Linked DNA regions of Drosophila melanogaster. The protein of the gene in region 1 interacts with the protein of each later gene in a pairwise test. Each region holds a gene or a part of one and is shown on either strand. Other genes may lie near its edges.

Region 1 (5,380 bases):
TGTTTCTTCAAGAAGCAACAAAATTTAACGACTTCCTTTAACTACTATAACTTTAATAACAAAATTGACCCACCCCAATGTACGTATATGTATATGATAATCCTATGTGCCTACTTCGTCTTTCCCGAGATTTGCCGGCATCGCAGAGTCGCCTGTTCCACCGCTCCAGACACCGCAGCCCGAAAACCTGCAATCGACATCAAAGGTTGAAGTGGCGGCGATAAGCGAGTGCGTCATCGGCGTCATCATCCCAACTTACCTGACAGCTCGAGTTGTCTGAGTGCCGCTGCTGTCGATCCCGCCGGACTTGTGACCCCATCCTTGAGTTGTCCGGGATGCATACCACTGTCCCGCACCATGTGACCTGCGCCCAGGACTGTTTGCGATGCCAAACGATAGGCCAGATCCCTGGGCATGCCCATGTGAACGGCTCCATCCGCCAAGGCCTCAATCATCACGAATACATAGGCCGGTCCACTTCCGCTCAGAGCAGTAACCACATCCAACTGGGACTCATCCACCGGCTCACAAGTGCCCACGGACTGCAGCAGCTTCTGGGTAATATCCGCATCTGCATCTGTGGCCTTGGATCCGCGAACGAAAACCGAACAACCGGAACACACGACAGCCGGCAGATTGGGCATCACACGGATGACGCGAGCTTGTGGAGATAAACTGGACTCGATGGTGGACAAAGTGATGCCCATGGCCACGGAAAGGAATAGTTTGCCCGAGCTCAATGGCTGAATCTCCGACAAAACCGAGGGAACCACTTGGGGTTTCACGGACACGAAGACCACATCCGATTGCTGCACAACGGGTGCATTCTTGATCACTGTTTCCACTCCCAGGGATTGAAAGGACTGCAGGGAGAGCTTATCTGCCGGATGGACGCTGGCTATCAGGGTATTGGGTTTGGCCAGGCCTAGGAAATGAATTAGGAAATTTGGCGATTATATGATGAAATCCTTAACGTCCTATCCTTTTGTATCTAATTATAAGATGATGTTAGTTCATATATATATTGCATATCCAAGTGTGTCTTATCTATTGTCTAGCACAAAGTATGTCAGACTACAAATCTATTTTATTAGTGGCTTTCTCACCGGCCGCTAGGAAACCCTTAGCCAAAGCCTTGGCCATATTCCCGCCTCCCAGGAATCCGATCTTTCCGATTGCCGACATTAGTTAATGGGTTAAAAAGTCCGCGGACTGTGAGTACTGAACTTTCTGCTGGTGGAACGGCAACTGTGCGCCCGCCGCCGGCGTTGACCAAAAACAGACGCGAGGATTGATAAGAAATCTTGCCCGGCCAACCCCCTCCCAATCCCCTGCGTTGAGGGAACAACACACCCAGCGATCTGAGCTTATCATTGAGGTTCCTATGTGTGGGTTCGGCAATCGACAGCGGGGCAAAATAATAATAAATACTAAGAACTTTTCACACATTGTAAATAAAGAAAACATTAAACTATTAATAGTGCTGTTTTACAATCGAATTATATTTGAATAAAAATAGTCATTAAAATCCACTTAAGATAGAGACAAATTTTTAATAGATCATAAATTACAACCCATTATTTAAAGTGAAGTTATTATGATTTCAGCTTATATAACAATCAATTATAATATTGATTGATAATATTGATTATATATAATATGTAGTTTAAAATACAGTTCAAGTGCCGCGATTGCTAATATTTTGCCCGCCGTTGTATTTCCTTATCATTTAGAACAACTGTCATCCGCAACTCATTCACCCATTAATCGGCGTGACGAAGTCCAAATTAATGCGAGATGCCGATGCCCTGTAATCCCTGTAATCGTGCGTTGATCCACTTTCGTGTTTTGGATTCCATTTCTATAAATTTCTATATAGCTGTACTCTTTGGCAATCCTTACTTACCAAGTTTCAAAAACATTCCGCACTTTAAGAGATAACAATCGTTATCAATGTGAGCGTGATAACAGTAGAGGCGATATACACATGCTTATTTGTAAAGGGCTACATTAGAAAACCAAAGTATTTACTTTGTATATTACAAAATATTGCCATAGGGATTTTGGGACATACCCGGGTATACTAGATACGTTGGAAAGTAGATACCGCCTAGTAAGCAATTTTCGAAAAGAGTTCTTTCTTCTTTTTATCATATCTCGCATTAAGTAACGGGTATTTGATAGTCCAGCAAATCGGCTAAAACTAAAAGATCTATATTTACTGTTTTCAAAGAATTGCACAGATTTGAGAGTCAGTTAATTAGCGGATACATACACCACTCCATCCAATTTTCTCACCGTATGCAGCAAAGTTTCCCTCCTTCACCACGTGGTGAGGAAGCCAACATAGACTCTGGTAACACTAAACTGGAGATGAAACTTACTTCCGCACACGGTACCACTAAACTCTTCATGCCAAAATAAAAGATTAAATTAAGATATTGCCAGCTCCAAACCCGGATATATAACCCCACAAGTGATTAATACGAATTAGGGGCATCCACTGTAGCGGAGTAAGCTCGTGATACTACCAAAATTTACCAAAGTCAAGCCCTAGTTGTCCCCTACACGTGTGTGAGTGTGTGTGTGCGGGTGTCGGTCGTGTGCGCCTGTATATGTGCGTTGTTTTCTCACTCAATTTCATTGCAATTTAAAAAAAAATCAACAAAAACGCAGTAACAGCAGCAACAACAATTAGAAAACGCACTTGTTACCGAGGTTGGCTGCCAGTACTAGAAAAGCAAACAATAAACAACCGAGCTGGCGAGACTGAAATCCATCGCATGATAAACACACCGAACAAGAATCTTCGACAGCTTCGAAATTCTGGAGAAGGACGGTACGTATTGGTATTTATGCGACCAGATACGAGTATAATTGATTTGCAAATTATTCCACAGGGCCACGTCGCTATCTTATCTGCTACAGTGAGAGAAAAACCAGTAGGCCAGTCGTGTTCGATCATAGTTTAGGTTTTCAAACTTGGGCGGTAGTAATTAAGTTCGTTAAAAATTAGCAAAACCAAAACAACACCATGTCCTCGTCGTCGACGTCCGGCGGCCGGAAGCAACCCACTGCTGTGTCGCGCATGAAGCAGGACTATATGCGCCTCAAGCGGGATCCCCTGCCGTACATAACCGCCGAGCCGCTGCCCAACAACATCCTCGAGTGGCACTACTGCGTCAAGGGGCCGGAGGACTCGCCCTACTACGGCGGCTACTACCACGGCACCCTGCTCTTTCCGCGCGAGTTCCCATTCAAGCCGCCATCCATCTACATGCTGACGCCGAACGGTCGCTTCAAGACCAACACCAGACTGTGTTTGAGTATATCAGGTATGTGTCAGTTCCATATCCGTAGGAGTCCGAATCCACAGCTAGAAATAAAGCGGATTGGTTGTCACAGTAGTAGAACATTAAAGAATGGGTAGTAACTACAGGCTTAAAGACTACCATTAACTTTGAACGCTGAATAGTTTTAGTTATGTTTGACGAAGCCGATGGACTTTGTGGCTTAGTCAAACATGTTTTTTGCGACCTTTCAAATAGATATTCGTGTATCTGTTTAGATCTGTTTAGATTCTATTGTTCCAAACATATAACTTATCAACCCTATTGGGATTTTCAGATTTTCATCCGGACACTTGGAACCCGACTTGGTGCGTAGGCACCATTCTCACTGGACTGCTGAGCTTCATGGTGAGTTATTACGAATACATGATCATACGTTTGAGTAAGCCAATCTTAAATCCTTCACAGCTGGAGAGCACACCCACACTCGGATCCATCGAATCATCGAACTATGACAAGCAAATGTTTGCTCAAAAATCACTAGCATTTAACCTGCGCAACACCAACTTCTGTGAGCTGTTTCCGGAGATAGTCGAAGAGATCAAGCAGCGGCTGCGAGGAACACAGGCGGCAGCTGCTGTGGACGGACCCGCTGCCAATGGAGTAAAGCGTTCCAACGGACTGGCCAACGGAGCGAGCCTGGCATCTGCGGATGGCAATCTGGCGGTGGGCGGCTTGGCCAATCCACTGAATGCAGCGGACGCAATCGATGGCGGGGCGGCGGGTCAGGCGGATTTGGCCAGCGGCGGAGGAGCGGCGGTCCAGAATAGTGCACGGAACTCCTATCTAAACTGGCAGTCCGTCTATTCAAACCTGGTGATCATTATCTGCTTTGCAATTTTTGCCCTCATTGTTAATTACGTGATCAAGAACCTGAATCAGGAATAGAATTACCGACACAGCCTCTATATTTATATAAAGAAATAGTTACACATCCGTATGCGTGTGCATATCTAATCTAGTTTACTTTAAAATAGTCTTCGTGGATTGTATACCGCTTGAGAAGTATTTACATACCCCGCTTGATTCAAAAACAACCGCACTAGACCCCCGGCATCCATTCCCACGATTCCCACGATTGCTGACTTAGTCTGAAAATTATCGGCAGCAAAATTTGAAAACACAAGAACACACAATTCAGAACTCGACTTGTGAAATTTAAAAATTGTTTTGTTATGTATTCATTACTATTAACGCCTAGTTTAATGCAACGTGAATAATGCCAGAAATATGTTTGTAAATGAATAAAGAAGCCCGGCAACATATGAGCTCGTGTACAAATTAACCAATATATGTGTGCGTTTCTTGATTATTAAATGGATCTTCATTTTCAGTCGCCACAAATTGCTTGGATGTTGGATGATTCAACTTGTATAATAAGTTGTAATTTGTAGTTGGCTTTTCGCTGGCTAAGCGGCTTAAGTATGAAGCAAAGTCCGCTGGCAGTCGGCAATAATTTTTCCTCACACTAGCTAAGTACGGCCAAATCCAATAAACTGATGCCTGGCTGGGCAACAATGTTACACATTTAAACCGCTTACATTGTTGGCCATCTTAAGCCGAAATTACACACATGACGCTTATTACTCCTGGAAGTGGGCGTTGCGGACCAAGTTCGATGGTTACAGTGAATTGTGGTTACCACAATCTATGTCTTTGAAGTAAAAACAATCTATGTCTTTGAAGTAAAAACTACAGAATAATACTATGATTTTTTTTTAAAACTATCTATAACCAGTATATATATTTATACGATATATTCGCTTTGTAGGAATATTTTATAGATTTAAAGTCGTTTTAATAGTTTTCCAGGAAAATAAAATACTTGCTGAACAATAACAGATTTATAGAGAAGAGAGTTTAGAATTATTAGAAAATTCGGGAAAAGAAAATCCGATTACCCAGCAGACGCGGCAAACTCCTTTAAAATAAAAGGACGCAGCGACGACTTTGTTTTGCACAGAAAGTTTTTTTGGCCAGACGCTGAAGTTGATAATTTAACTAACGTAAATTTCAAGTTCAGGCAGCAT
Region 2 (4,141 bases), on another chromosome or scaffold:
AGCAAGAGCAGCAAGCGCAAGAGGCAACCACATCCACAGAGGACCCATGAGTCGCCTGTGACCCAATTAGTATACAGATAGCTCACTTAATGCAAGACTGTCGCAACCAAAAAAAAGGATTATACTTCTTAAATCAGAATCAGAGAATCAGACATGACATGCTCGTCTTGTTCGCAAACTCCTGCTCGATAACATCGACAATATTTGACAAAACAGAGCAGTAATCATCTTCAGGGAGCCAAAGATTTTTAAATTTATAGTATTCATACTATGTTTTTGCCCACATTAATCGTATTTGGTAATAGGCTTGATACTAATTTTTATCTTAGGTTAGCCCCATTAAATTAAATGCCCTTTTTTTTTGAGTAATGACAGCCTTGTATCGAGTGAGATTAGTTTTGTTGATTCAGATTAGTCACATGAAAGGTCTCTGACTGCCATGTAAATCATAAGTAATAAGCAATTTCATTTGTTGGCCAATTAAGATCCGAAAGTTGTACATGTTTTAAGCAAGTTATGTGTCCGTAGCAGAGTCCGAATCGCAATATCTATTTATATAATAAAAACCTAAAAAAAAAAACGTCGCAAGGTTCAAAAAAATCTTAAAAACGGGGCGCCACTCAAAAATCACCAAAAAATACAGAATATTTCCATTCCAGTATTTTCTTGTTCGTCACTTCTTTCTTGTCACGGTGGTGAAGAAGCAGTCACAGTTTAATGCCAGCCGAAAGCCGCACCACGTGTTGCCCATTCCAAGAAAAATAAACTAAATTAGCACGATGGCTAATAGAAAACGCAACAAAATTTTGCTTAATACAATAGAGAAAGATATGTCAAATAGCTGAAAGTTATATGGTAACTAAAAGATGTGCGGATCACGAGAAACGAGCAATTCACTTTGACAGCCTGGCAGCTGTGACCCAAAGAGTCTCACTTTGAGACTTCTTGGGACCAACCAGCATGGGAAGTTTACGCGGTAAGAATAATACAGAAAGAAGATCTCCACAACCATGATGAAATCGTTAGATGGGGACAACTGATTACTGTGACTGATTCATCTCGATAGTAGATCTGATTTTAAAAATGTTGCTAGCCTACGTGCTTTCATGTTCAACAGCACTAAAATAACTCGTTCTTTTTATATAATGCAGAAAACTGATGTTTCTGACTGAAAACCGACGAAAGAATGGTTTCCACACTTGTAAGTATAATGATTGCTAAAGATTTATGATTTTTTTTTTTTTGTGATGAAATCGTTAGATAGGGACGTCTGATATCTGTGACTGATTTATCTCGATAGTAGATCTGATTTTAAAAATACTGTTAGCTTGCGTGATTTTATGTTCAACAACACTACAATAACTCTTTCTTTTTAGATAATGCAGAAAAACTGATGTTTCTGACTGAAAACCGACGAAAGAATGATTTCCACACTTGTAAGTATAATGATTGCTAAAGATTTATGATTTTTTTTTGTGATGAAATCGTTAGATAGGGACGTCTGATATCTGTGACTGATTTATCTCGATAGTAGATCTGATTTTTAAAATATTGTTAGCTTGCGTGATTTTATGTTCAACAACACTACAATAACTCTTTCTTTTTAGATAATGCTGAAACCCGAATTTCTCTGACAGAAACCCTACGTAAGAAGGATTTCCACACTTGTAAGTTTAAAGTGTTATGTGTACGTATATATAAATATGGGAGTATTTGAGGCCAAGTCTTAAGCTATTGTCTAGGAAACAAAATACCAAATACAAAAACGAAACTAAGGGTATTCTTTAAAACAACATGAATTTTGTTTGTATTTATTAAATCTATGAAAATGATCCGTAAACAAAAGTAAAGAAAAATAATTTTGCACATATTTTTTTTAGGAAATCTTTAGAACTGTCTGTAAAAATATATATTTAGAGTAACCCCTGAATAATGATTAAATACTTATGCATAATTTTTATTTATTTTACAGGGCTCCCTTGCATGATGCCAGAAAAGTGGACGTAAAAAATCTAATAAAATTATATTTATAGAAACAGAATGCAGCTTGCCATAGTTTTATTTTTTAAATATTTTTGAGAGACGGTTGGGAAAAGGGAGAAAAAATATTGATACATCGTGTAGGCTGGAATAACTAATTCAAAGTCACACCAATACTTTTTCCAAACCAGTTTTGCAATCTGCAGTAAAGTTTTTACAAATTGATCAAATCACTTTCGTTATAATGAGGTTTCGGTCGCTGAAGAACATATGGCCAAAAGAGAAGTTGGAGCAATTCCTATTTTTGTTCATTTTATGTGGCTTGCCCGCCATATACTATGTTCTAATGGAGATAATTCTGCCGGAGTTGTCGGATTATTGGTCACCTGGTTACGTATTTCAGCTGCTGCTGGGACTGTTCCTCTTTTCGAATGTGATGTCCAACTATGTCATGTGCATCCTGGTGGACCCCAGCATCGATCCCAAGCTTATGAAGAATCAGTTGGTGCGCGGACAGCACAGTGAGGACTGGCACGAGTGCGACAAGTGCGGGATTCTTGCTCCACCCCGGTCACGTCACTGCAGGAAGTGTGGCGTCTGTGTCCTGATGCGAGATCATCACTGCTTCTTTACTGGTTGCTGCATCGGTCATGAGAACTATAGATACTTTTTCTATTTTCTTATCTACTTTTTTCTAAGCTGCATGATTTCACTAACGTCATCTTCGATATTTATTTACGTTCTGCATGGGGGCAGATACCAGCTCTTTATGCTGACACATCCCGCACCGAACTCTGCCTATTTTAACTCGCTTATTATCAGGATAATCTACTTTAAGTTGCCCGATATATACGAGCTGGTGTTCACTCTGGTATTCGTCCTGCTGTGGATCGGGGTATGCGTAGCTACCTATGTGGCTTATGATCAGTGGTCTCGTGGCTATTTTTGCTATGATTTTGAACTTCAAAACATTCCTTTTGACCGAAAACTGCGCCGAAACTTCAAGACGTTCTTGGGCAGGCGAATGAAGTGGACCTGGATCTCCGGATTTGTTCCCAGCCAGCTGGACCACGACGGATTTGATCTGGATCCCGACAACGAACGTGTGGCAGATTGGTGCTCAGAAACAACCATCAAGGATGGCTAAATAATTTTATGCATTCTCTGTGTTTTCCAAATTACCGGTGCGATGAAAAATTAAAAATTCGAATTCATTTGATTAGTTCAGGCATGCAAGAAAGCTTTCCAAATTAAAAAGTTAAATATTTAAGGATGTGTTATTATGCGATATGTGTATGTTTCGTTTTATTTGGTCTCTACTGTGCTTGCTGATTTTCCCCAGGTTGGCAGTCTCGTCAGCTGTTTTCCTGATAACATTGACTTGCCGCAAAATGCTTGTTTGTTTAGTCTGAAATTGGCATCTGGTCAAGATCAACTGCCAGTAGGTAGAGACCACATATGGAGCCCACCAATTCGGAGTCGCGGCACCGCCTAAATGGAGGGGGCAGGAGTTCCGCGCCAGCAGGCTCCGGAGAGTACATCAAGGTGGTGGAGTCCCAATGCGAGACCGATGGATTCGTTAATGAACAGTGGACGGAACCGGCGATGCCAGGTCCAGTGCCTTGGAAGACCATTATTATCATTCTTTTGCTGTTTATCGGTGGCATTGTGAGTAGTGATTACTGGTGCCCACACATACATGCACAGTTCCTTCGAACTTCTGATCTGATGTCTTTGTCTTCAGGTTTGCATCGCCTTTGCCACCTTAAACTGGGTGACGGACACGAGCCGGGAGCGATCGGATCGGGTGTGGGCGTTGGGTATCATCGGGGCACTGACCTTCATCCCGGGAAGCTACTATGTGTACGTGCTCTTCTGCATAATGCTCAACCGCAACGGATTCACCATGGACGAGATACGAAGACTCGGCTGAAAAGGAGAAACCAAAGACACCAAATGTTTCGTCAAATAGAGTTTATTGCTTTTACACTACAGTTATTCACACATTTCATTGGCATAATTTCTTTAGCAACAATCTTAATATGTAGTTCATTATGATACATGTGTATTGCCCCGGTAATTGTATAAAAATATTTTTTAAACACGAGCTTCGTTATCAAAATGTATAATGCTTGGCGTGGCTTCTAGTGCGCGGAACATT
Region 3 (3,757 bases), on another chromosome or scaffold:
TTCGTTCGCAAGGTGGCCCATCTGACGACAGTTGGCTTTGTCGGGTGGTAATGCAAAACCGTAAACAAATACAAGGGAACCTCGATAACCGCTATGGGTGCTATTAAGTCTTAAGGTCGAGCATTAGAACCTTAGAGATAAATAAAGAATGTTTCAATGAATTACGAGTATTAACGTGGGATAAGCTTTTTCCTTGCCACTATAATCGAATGATGACTTTGAACGGAATTACCGATATTTAAGATTGGCTTTTGCTAACAGAAATTGCACTTAGGGGAGCTCGACTGTGGTGTGATAATTGAATCCGCCTGAAAGTGTTGGGGCAGAAAACCACTTTTGACTCATGATCCGCGCGACGGGAGCACGACTTGGGAATAAGCCAGTGACTGTGACAAAACTTCTCCGCAAGTACTTGTGAGTCATGCCCCATTGCCCAGGGGGGCAGGGGAGGGGTGGGTTGGCTGCAGGAGGGGCTGCAGTAAATGCAATTTAAATGATCATTAGGCGCATGAGTTTTATGTTGCCATTTAATGAGACGCAAATGCGGTGAGATGCCTGGGAAAGTGGCCGTTGCAGGTGAAAGGAGTGTAAAGGTTGGCGCAAATTGAAAGCCCTAAAATAGTTTTGCAAACTGATTTCTGTTTTTGAATTATCTTGTGTAATAGATATACATTTACAAACGTTTGTAATGTATACAAGTGTGTCTAGTACACTGTATTTATTTAATAATCTAGAGATGATCGTTACTTATCATAAACTATTATTATTGCAACGGATTTTGCTCAGGTGTTTTCAAAAACAATAAACAAAATGTTGGCTTCCTTTTCGCCATATTAATATAATTTATATTGCGCCTTAAAGTGGCTCTGGACAAAAGTAAATATTGCTCGGCGGCCTTCACTTACGTATTGAAGGTCTTCTGGTAGTCCTTGATCTGGTTACGGGAGAACTCGGGGAAGTCGGTGTAGACGTTGACCACTTTGTAGGTGCGACGCACCTCGATGCCCGCCTCCTGGGACTCCATGATCTCCTGGCGCCGATTGAGGATGTGCGTCAGCTCGGAGCTGTCCGTGTTGGTGGTGCTGCTGGGGCTGTCCACGCTGTCCTTGTTGGAGGCGGATGAGGCGTTCGAGGAAACGGACATTGTGTCGCTCCTTGTTGACTCGCTTTTTAGTGTGCTGGAATTTCCCTTTCTGCCCTTTTCTGCTGCCTTCTCACTCTCTCTTCCTTTTGGCACACCCACGCAAAAAGGACCGTAAAAGAGATGTCCGGATACACACACAAATGCGGCGATGCGCCAGGAAAACACACACGGACTCGTTGCACGTAAGCTTTTGTCGTGGGGAGTGGCCCTGAGTCCTTTTTTGGCTTTGAAAAAACAGTTGCAAGGTGCGTTTGAATTGCCGGTCTTTTTTTTTTTTTTTGCTGCAAATTGGCTTTCTTATTGGACAACTGGTGTTCCGCTTCGACCGCCGCGACTACCGAATCTTCTGAACGCTGAGAGACGAATGAAAGTGCGACCGTGACACGAGCGTTCAAATATACCAGCGGGCGCGGCGGCATTTTTCGAGTGACCGTGTGCTGACAAATACCAAAGTCAGCTGAATTTCGAGGCAATATATATACCTTACAATTTTTTTAATTCATTCTGTTACTAATAATGTATATAATCATTATTTAAAGCTAGCTGATGAACAGACGGTTTCAAATTTTACGAAAGTTTTTAACTTTCTTAAGCAAAATATGTAACCGAATATTTATTGTATGTTTATATAGTTATAATATAATTATATAATTAGTTTGATCACAAAATCAATCTTTGTATAATTTTAATGTTGTTCCCAATAAAATATTTAAATTTAAGATTCTTAAATATATTACGGCATATGAGGTATACAGACAACCCTAAACTATCGTCCAAAGCTCCCAGCCCTAGGTGTGCCCGCATTTTGATAGCAATTTAGCAAAATTTTGTAGAAAATTGTACCGACTGTGATTGTAATTCGTAATTGTTCAATAAAAATGGGCAGTAAACTGTTTAACAAACTCTTGCTAATTGCCGGATTTGCCAGCCTGGCACATGCTGCTTTTTCTGCTGCCCATCGTAAGTTTTCGTCACTGTTGTGGTAAATAAACTTTGGACCACTAAGTGCCGCATTTACTCCACAGATCGCACCTATTTGAGGCTGACGGAGCAGGAATGGAATAGCCTTCCATTGGACGTAGGTTTCGGTGCATTTAGGGTGCTTGCATGGTTACTCACGAAAAGTTTTCCTTTATCAATCCTTAGATTATCCTGCAGACCGTCATCAGTTTGGTGATTGTGATTTACAACATCATCGAGATCGTTGGCAACTTCAAGGAAATTCGCGCCACCGTGGACATGCAACAGAAAACTTGGGACACCTTGGGCAACTTCCCCTCGTTCTATTCCTTCAATCACCGTGGTCGTGCCTTAAATCCTGGATATACGCCCCCGGAATAAGAGACCTTTCTTTTAAGTTCTGCTATCCTTTTATTTATAGTCTCAGCAAGTTACAATATAGATAACGCTAAAGATCAACCAAACTCCGTAACCTGCATTCGAAAATTTGATGGATATTGCGGAACTCTTGCCTTGCAACAAGGACAATGCCTTGGCCTCCAGCTCATAGCTGGCTCTTAATTCCCGGCCAGGACTATTATTGCATGCCTGACTGTGACAAGTGCGACAACTGTCGAAGTGGTTACTCCTTAAGAGACATTCGTAGTATAGCTCGGGATTGGAACGACATCCTCTTACAATTTCTTTACTGTTGATGTCAAAGTACTCCAAGCAGGCCAATTCTTGATCCTCCGGCTCATTTGCTCGAGCCGGACAAGGCATAGCCGTTTGTCCCCTGGAGATCTCCTCGCAGTCCTGCACTCCCCTACACTGATGACACCAGAGGCGCTCCTCCGGAAATGATCCTTTGTTGCAGAAACTTCCTTCGCATAGTCGACAACTGGCCACATTTGCGGAAGCACAGCTGAAGTCCGATTTTTGGCAACCTCTCGCAGTGGTGGCGTTGTTAAAGGAAACAACCACACATGGTGCAGCCGGTTCATCGCATTCTTCAATGTAGATTTCGCCAGGACTTTCCCAATTTGCACAGCCTGCTCCCGCTTGATCCGTGCTGCATTGGTAGCACCGGGTGAAATCCTTACTATTACACCCAGCGCCTTCATCGCATTCATAGCACTTGGTGATTTGAGGATTTTCCGGCGGTGCTCCACAGCCTCGCTGAATACTCCAGTTGGAGTACTCACAGGAGAAACAGGAAGAGGCCTCAGCGGAGCTACAAGTGCTATTAGCTATAGCCGTAATATTTGTCCGGCAAAGTTCCTGATCCACGGAGTTGCATGTAAAACACTTCTGCTGCGTAATGCATCCTGCGTTGCAGTGGTCACTGGTATTACACTTTTCTAATTGCTCTACATACGGCTCCAAATCTGTTGGAATTTTAGTAGAACATCCTCTGACAACGCGGCTTAGTCTGCGAAAGCTGAAGCAGTACTTATCCTCTTGCTCACCCAACAGAACATCCTGCTGGCATTCCTCGTATAAGCTAACATTGCACCTGCCGGTGTTGACCTGAAAGAGATCTATCTTGCAACCCCGGCCGATTGCTGAATCGCAGGTGGCGCAGACTTGGGTCCAAGCTCCTTGCTCCTCATTGCAGCCATTGATCTCACACAGTTGGGCGGAAGTGGACAGCGTGTGATTCTGCTCGGAGGT

Evidence for each region.
Region 2: the proteins of CG5823 (region 1) and CG18810 interact in a two-hybrid assay, tested with the Drosophila melanogaster proteins (one large-scale study listed by BioGRID).
Region 3: the proteins of CG5823 (region 1) and EMC5 interact in a two-hybrid assay, tested with the Drosophila melanogaster proteins (one large-scale study listed by BioGRID).

What each region holds. Positions count from the first base shown.
Region 1 is NT_033777.3:17,531,578-17,536,957, reverse strand, and holds CG5823 (uncharacterized protein), read left to right. Parts: upstream 1-2,370; 5' UTR 2,371-2,839; intron 2,840-2,900; 5' UTR 2,901-3,034; coding exon 3,035-3,335; intron 3,336-3,627; coding exon 3,628-3,698; intron 3,699-3,758; coding exon 3,759-4,238; 3' UTR 4,239-4,633; downstream 4,634-5,380. Other genes in the region: P5cr-2 (Pyrroline-5-carboxylate reductase-like 2), read right to left, coding at 111-187, 260-925, 1,107-1,185.
Region 2 is NT_033779.5:20,646,813-20,650,953, forward strand, and holds CG18810 (uncharacterized protein), read left to right. Parts: upstream 1-2,099; 5' UTR 2,100-2,224; coding exon 2,225-3,127; 3' UTR 3,128-3,267; downstream 3,268-4,141. Other genes in the region: CG2608 (uncharacterized protein), read left to right, coding at 1-50; CG2611 (uncharacterized protein), read left to right, coding at 3,439-3,648, 3,725-3,913.
Region 3 is NT_033779.5:18,985,767-18,989,523, forward strand, and holds EMC5 (ER membrane protein complex subunit 5), read left to right. Parts: upstream 1-1,940; 5' UTR 1,941-2,022; coding exon 2,023-2,104; intron 2,105-2,169; coding exon 2,170-2,222; intron 2,223-2,290; coding exon 2,291-2,485; 3' UTR 2,486-2,527; downstream 2,528-3,757. Other genes in the region: Swip-1 (Swiprosin-1), read right to left, coding at 906-1,144; CG15170 (uncharacterized protein), read right to left, coding at 2,528-3,757.